Linked DNA regions of Oryctolagus cuniculus. The protein of the gene in region 2 purifies or fractionates together with the protein of the main gene of each other region. This does not show direct contact. Links are inferred from orthologs where the notes say so. Each region holds a gene or a part of one and is shown on either strand. Other genes may lie near its edges. The genes, in order: DKC1 and DDX21.

Region 1 (3,818 bases), on a different chromosome or scaffold from region 2:
ACAGAAGAATTCAGCACTTTTCATGCATGACTCAAAAATATTAGACAGATTTAACAGCTACTTCTCCCATTTCCCTGATCCTTTAGCTGTGAAAGAGTAACTACTTCCTCACTGATCTCCAATTAATTATGCAATTGGGACATACAAGTTTATTTTTTTTTATAAACACACACACACACACATCAGTCTTAGCTTTCCTTAATTGCTCCTCTCTATCACACAAAGGTTTAGACATGAAACTTATAGGCCAATGGGTAGAAGCCCACCTCTTCAGTTCAACAGCACTTTGGAATCTATCTGCCTTATGCTATACCATCTTCACTCATCTAGATCTCTTGCTACCCATATTCTACTCTCTCCTTAGAGAATTTTCATGCCTGCCTAGTCTTTAACAAAATTTATAAACTACATTCTTTGATCATACTTAACAAATTCTGGACTACTTGGAAAGTAAGAAACTTATTCTTAAAATGACCACTACAAAAGAAACCCCAACTGAAAAATATTTACTTGCATTGCTAATAGGAATACTCTCAAGTAAAAGGCAAGTTAGTGAATATGTTAAGAAAAGGACTTGTAGGGCTGGCACTGTAGTATAGTGGGTAAAGTCACTGCCTACAACATCTACATCTCTTATGGGCGCTGCTTCAAGTCCCAGCTGCTCCACTTCCCATTTAGATCCCTGCTAATGCACCTGGCAAAGCAGTGAAGGATGGCCTCAGTGCTTGGGGCCCTGCACTCATGGGAGACTTGCAGGAAGGTCCTGGCTGCTGGCCTTAATCTGCCTCAGCTCTGGCTATTACAGCCACCTGAGTGAAAATAATCTTTAAAAAAAAAAAAAAAAAAAGAGGTTGATAACCTCAGTGAAGTTTCGCTTTCACAGCCTCAAACTATGTTTTATTTACACTAACAAAATATTTTATTCAAACTTCTACAGGATAAATAACTTTGTTACAGCTCTGAATCTCTCTAATCTCAACTTTTCCCCATTAAACTAACTTTGTCTTAGAACAATTTAAGTCAGTCAAGGTTTCTTAGGCACATAGAGTTTCCAAGAAGAAAAGACCATATCCTATCTTTGGAGTCAGTTTCTGTTCAAATGCGCATTCCCATCGCAGAACTTACTGCACTGTCTTTCATAACCAGCCGTTTATGAGATGTCAGCAGCTTTTCCAAAGGGTAAACAACTCGGCGCAGGTAGCTTTCGTCCTTATGGTTGTCATACAGCCACTGAGCATCAAGCACATCGTGCATTGTCACCATGTGGTCCTGAAAAGCAGGTACATAGGAAAAAACTCAGTGTCTTCAGATCTCCAACAGTTCACAGGTCCACAAACAGCAGCGGGCATTTGGCCACATAATTAAGATACCACTTGTGACACTCATATACCATGCATCTCTTCCACTAGTGCAAGCTCATGAAGAACCCTGAGCGTCTTCATACTCACCTCCCTTCTGGACACCTGTAACTGTTTATAGATTCACTTTATGAAAGCACTGCTGTAGGCTGGGAGATAAACGAATAGTGATACTTTCTATCCAGTTCTATCTCCAAACCCCTTTTAGTGTACCAAAGTTTAATTAACAGAACAGGGAAGATGCCCTGAACTGAACTCAACACTTTGGAAGTGGCCTTTCCCAGGGTGTGAAGTAGGCAGAGTTCCACCAGGGGCTGCAAGATACCCAGAACCAGCTCTAAAACTTCTAGCTCCATGAAGACACACCTTTTCACTCATGACTCCAGAACGAACTCTTCGAAGTTCTTGCATCTGACCGCCAACTCCCAATAACAAACCAAGGTGCACACACAGTGTCCGAATGTAGGTGCCAGCCTCGCAACTCACCCAAAATATGCCTAAGACATAAACACAATACAGAGTATTTTCCAGAGTTAGTCTGCTTCTAAGTCATCAAGCCTAGAGATGATATGACCTCACCACATAGTATTTTCAAAGATTACCGTAGAACCTTCCAGAATGAGTTCCTACCCAATGCGGCCTGTGATAACTCAGTTCCTCAAAGACCCAACAACCCACCTAATCTTCTTTCCGGATCATATTCGATCATTTTGCTCTCATAGATGGTCCTCACTCGGAGCTGCCTCTTCACTGCAGCAATAAGTGGGGGTCGCTGGAAGAGGGCACCCGTCAGAGTTTCTAGGGCCTGAGAATAAGCACAAATAGAAACAAGCACTCTCCCTACATGGCCTCTTAAATAAGATGAGAGGGCATATTTGGGGAGCTTAAGGATACAAAACATAAAAGGTTTTCTTCAAAATAACTAAAAAGCCATTTCTTTCCATTTCTGCTTCGTTCTTCAACCCCTGGGACGGCTCAGGGCTGATGGGAAGCAGCTCCTCAGAAGGGATGTGGCTGGATGGGGTAGCCCATTGAAAAGGGCAGGAGCATGGTCAGCCACGAAAGGTGGCTGTTTCCAAAGGCTTCAAGGGCTGAGACCCAACTTCCCTTCCCTAAAGTGAGAGACTTACCCTAGAAAGCTGGGTACCCCCTTCAATAGCATTGTGCAGCCGAACAATTCCCACATACTCTTTGCCTGAAAAATGACAAAAGAGTAGTCAGGTGTGGCCACTCAGTTTTCTGTATTTGTTATATGCTCCATAGCTGCCATCTTGCACAGCAGGAAAAGCAGACATTTTGAAAAGAAAGGAAAGGAATGGAACGACGACATTGGGAGCTCAACATTATTCAGTGTCTTGGTGCAGATTTCACAGAAACATAACGTGAAAGGAACCTGGAACAAGACAAGAGTTGGACTCGGAAAGAATTCTGCCTCAGTGGCATGAACGGAATTTATCAACACATGCCTCTATGAACTCCAAATGTAGACCCACCAAGATCTGGCAGAGGACAGAAGGTACACAGAAACAAAAAGCATATCCATGCTTCAGGGTAGGTTTTTTCCCCTTAATGAAGAAAATTTCCAAGAGGCAAAATGTGGAGGTAAACCTGCCTTCTGTCTTCACATACCTGCACTCTGCTGTGATTTCACCAAGCGAGTGGCTCGTTCTATGCACACGATTAAACAGCCAGTCACCTTGGGATCCAGAGTACCGCTATGTCCTGTCTTCTCCACCCGAAGGATTCGTCGGATCCAGGCTACCACCTCATGGGAAGAGGGGTTGGAGGGCTTGTCAAGATTAATGAAACCTGTCCTAGAATGGACAGAAAATTAATGTACCATTTGCTCTCATGCTGCAATAAAACAACAAACCTGAAGAGTTAAAAAAATTCACCACGCGAACAGGTTATACATTCAAGACAAAGCCACTGTAGGTTTCTATCAACAGTGCTTGCTCCCAACACACTTACCTAATATAGTCCCCAATCTCCCTCTTCAGAGGATTTGAGCCACAAGGAAGAGGTGTATAATGTGTTGTCCTGACATTTAGTTTGTCAAAATTCTAGAAAGCAGCAATACAATACAAAATAGTGTTAATGATAAACCATTTACACATGTAACAGCCAGCACCATCATCAACCATGATATGCTAACATTTCACATTCCTGAATTTGCATTTTTGCTACTGTATTTCCAGTATCTGCTGTGAAACTGTTCTGCTCCTTATACACCACCCAAATTAGTAAGAATCACACTAACTAGAATATTGGTAAGTTGAACTCATTATTCTCTATGAAGAAGACTGGCTTCACTGCAAGATTATGAATAAAACATGCAACAGTTTTGATTTTCTGAGGGACAAAAGTAGCCAAAATGATGATCAAGCCCAACTTTCATCACCAGTTTAGTTTCATAAAAAACAAACCCTCTTTTACCTATCTTCCACCCCTGGATTTTAA
Region 2 (3,818 bases):
GACAAGAGCAAAGTTTCTGAATGCTTTGCCCTCTCATCCACTGAAAAGTGCAACCCGCAGTCAGCTACTGTCCAGGTCTGTTCCTTGGGTAAAATGAATTCATCTAGGTACCGGACCCTAGGAGGAAGACAGCTTCAAGACAAAGTATTACATGTCTTTGCTGCCCTGTAATGTCCACAAATTCTAGGTTTAATCTGTTTACATAATTCAAACAGATTTATGTTCTATCAGACAAAATTTAGAAAACACACACAACTTGAGTAGAATGTCTTCACTGGGCCCTTTACATGGAAAGCATTTGTGTTTGCCAGTCCTAATTACCCTCAGACATGAAACAAATGATATACAATTTCACACTAATTCCGGCAACTAAATGAATCATTTACCTCCACAGTTATTGCTGTTTTCTGAGTCTTTTTACCAATCAGGTCCACCTGTTCATATGTAGCTTTCATGTATTTCTTAGCAACATTAAATACCCAATGAGGGCATGTTGCAGAAAAAAGCAATGTTTGGGGGTTGTCTTCAGAATCTTTGGGGGGAAAAAAAATCAGTATGAATAATCAAAACAAACCTACACAGAATTCCACTTCACTCAGTTCTTCCAGGGTTCCCAACAATCATTAGCAAGCCTCATACTGAAGACACAGGTAACACGTTTTCCAATGGACACAGAAATAATGCTTCAATCATTTATGCAATGGTGAAAGTACTTTAACTTACTTTGCTTTCTGAACCCTGGCCTTAATGAAACACCAAGGAAATCCGTCCAATACAGTGAGAACAACCAAGTGGACAACAGCAATTCAAGAAGCCCAGCAACCAGTTAATACAGATCACCAGACAAACACCCTCTCAGACACACCAGAACTGTGTCTGAACTCATCTCTATACTGCCTGATGTTTGAAACTATACCTTATTTGTTCTTTGTGGTCAACTACTATTTTTTGTTTGCACACAAAGTTGCATCATAGTCTCACATTTCAAATGGCAGGGTAAGCTGGTACAACCCTTCTGAAGAATAATGTACACTGAGTTGCAAGAGCTATTTACAACTTAATTCCACTTATGGAAATCTAGCCAAAATAACCAACTTCAGATATTGATGAGGTGTGAGGAAAGCTATCTGCATAAACATGACTACAAGAATTATGAAAGTGACAATAAACAGAAAATAGAATTAAATCATGGCCAATTACTTCATGAAGCAAATCTATGTGGAATTAGTAAGTCCTCTTTCAATTTTCCAAGGCTTTGCCTTTTTTTTTTAATCTCTTAGATGACTATTTCATCATCTTCCTTTGGTCTCTTTTATATCGGTTTCTTGAATTTGGGGTTTACCTTTCTTGTATGCCACTTTTAAAATGTCTTCCACTTGATCAGCAAAACCCATATCCAACATCTGGTCAACTTCATCAAGAACAACATGCTTAAGTTTGGAGAGATCGAGCTTGCCATTCTCTAGATGGTCTTTGATTCGACCTGGTGTCCCAACCAGGATATCAATCCCATTCCGCATGCGTTCAACTATAAAGAACATCAATGATAAAATTTACTGGATTTTTAGAAGTCCTTTTATCAGTCTACACAATTAAATATAACATGCTAAGTAATGAAGATGAAGACCATCAAAGCATTCCATCTAGTAGAGAAATCATGTAAGAAGTCACAGTCTAGTGTATTAAGTGGCATAACACATGTCCACAAAAGCAACTGGAAAGAAATGACTTCCTTGGCTGCAGAAATTATCAAGACACAATGAGAATTAAGAATCTTAGTGCCAGCACCGCGGCTCACTAGGCTAATCCTCCGGCACACCGGGTTCTAGTCCCGGTCGGGGAGCCAGATTCTGTCCCGGTTGCCCCTCTTCCAGGCCAGCTCTCTGCTGTGGCCAGGGAGTGCAGTGGAGGATGGCCCAAGTGCTTGGGCCCTGCACCCCATGGGAGACCAGGAGAAGTACCTGGCTCCTGCCATCGGATCAGTGCGGCGCACCGGCCGCGGCGGCCATTGAAGGGTGAACCAAAGGCAAAAGGAAGACCTTTCTCTCTCTCTCACTGTCCACTCTGCCTGTCAAAAAAAAAAAAAAAAAAAAAAAAAAAAAAAAAAAAAAAAAGAATCTTAAAAAAAACAGGAACTTTCTACGAGGTGAGACAGACAGAAGTGCAAACTTGCAAGACTATACAGAGATTCGTAAAAGGAGCTGTTCAGTTTTAACCAAGAAGAGATGGTACACTAGTGTATCTCCTGAGCTGCTACTGCCGTCAAGGGGTTCAGTCAAGGTCTTCAACAGAAAAACAATGAAATCATGGAGCAGAGGGTGCAACAATAAGCCCTAGCACCCCCAAGAAAAGCAACCTTAACCGCATCAAGAAAAAAGCAAGGATACAGAAATAGGCAGAGATCCAAGGTCTTGAGAAATCAAAATAAATAATTTGTCCACAGGACTCAGTTTCTTGACCACCTTTAAACAATGGCAAAAGCAAAGCATCATCTGTAACTAGACCAGCTAAAGAAAAAAATGCCAAAAGGTCAAAAGGGAATCTACTCTGCATCTAAGGCATTTTCCTCCCCCTGTTTTTGAATTTACTTACTTTGATTTCCATACGGAGTTCCACCGTAAAAACAAGCTACTGCCAGTTTTTTTGTGATATCACTGAAGTCTTTGCTTACTTGATTTGCCAGCTCCCTTGTAGGTGCAAGAACCAATACCTGTAAAGGAAAAATTGATACCTGAATTCAAAGCATTATGCAGTACTGGTTTCCTAATTACTGGTTTTCCTAATTACCAGAAAGCTCAATGCATCCTACCCTTTTTGATATTTTCAAAGCATCTACTTTGCATATTGCAATAGCTTGCATAGAAGGATCCTATAGTTCTTGATAATTACACTCAGGAGAAAAACTTGTGACCACACCAATCCCAGGGGCCCAAATGCACTAAGCAGCCTGCTTGAACTGGGGCAAGTTTCACAGAGCTGCTAATCCTTCAAGTACAGCATTCTAGTAAAAGAACAATCTGATCAAGGAGCAATACTGATGATGACAGTTAGCTACTATCTGTGCTTTTACTGTGTCTGAGGCTCACATAAACCCTTATATGCATTATTCTGATTTAATTCTCACAACCTTTGGAGGTGGGTATTAGAAGGTAATTAACAACCAAAACCAAAAAACCCAAGAAGAGGCAGAGCCTGGATGTAAACTCAGGCAGTCTGACTCTAAAAGCTGTAATCCTCATCTCTGCACTACATTAAATCCTAGAGCTCAAACTCTGGAGTGGTCTTGAGCCTGATGTGGGACACACAGCACAAAACCACTACAGATCCTCAAGTAGAACGGCATAAACCAACCAACTCAGGCACTCACCCAGGTGATATTTACTACCCTCTATGTGCCAGGCACTGTTTTACACAGTGATAAACAAATTAATTGAGGAGGAGGAATGGACACTGGAGGGCAGGGAGCTAGTGACGTTAAGACAGAAAGGCAAGTGCAAGAACCCACAGCTGAGGTAACAACATGAACATCATCAGTGATTAAAGTTAAAGGTCGTCAGATGGCAGCTTCTCTGAAAAATGAGCCCAACAGCACTATCCTGATAAGGAGGCTTGGCCTAATCTTTACTCAGGTGCCCTTCCTCCTATTCCTGTCTCTCAATTAAAATTAATTTTCTCCAGGCAAAAATGGTCACTGAACATTTTAAACCCCAGGGACATGGAATGGTTCTAAGGGGCTATGAGGCACACAGGTGACCACAAGCATGGCCAGATTCTAACATTTAAATACACAGGGCTTGTCTTTCAAAAATGATCTCATT

What was found.
Region 1: the proteins of DDX21 (region 2) and DKC1 purify together in Homo sapiens (co-immunoprecipitation; 3 studies listed by BioGRID and IntAct, with this or other methods). This does not show direct contact. The link is inferred for Oryctolagus cuniculus from reciprocal best matches to the Homo sapiens genes DDX21 and DKC1.

The regions. Positions count from the first base shown.
Region 1 is NC_091453.1:133,384,563-133,388,380, reverse strand, and holds part of DKC1 (H/ACA ribonucleoprotein complex subunit DKC1), read right to left. Parts: intron 3,422-3,818; coding exon 3,330-3,421; intron 3,173-3,329; coding exon 2,988-3,172; intron 2,554-2,987; coding exon 2,489-2,553; intron 2,164-2,488; coding exon 2,037-2,163; intron 1,856-2,036; coding exon 1,725-1,855; intron 1,629-1,724; exon of another isoform or gene 1,499-1,628; intron 1,270-1,498; coding exon 1,126-1,269; intron 1-1,125.
Region 2 is NC_091446.1:60,756,485-60,760,302, reverse strand, and holds part of DDX21 (nucleolar RNA helicase 2), read right to left. Parts: intron 2,711-3,818; coding exon 2,593-2,710; intron 1,529-2,592; coding exon 1,343-1,528; intron 533-1,342; coding exon 387-532; intron 1-386.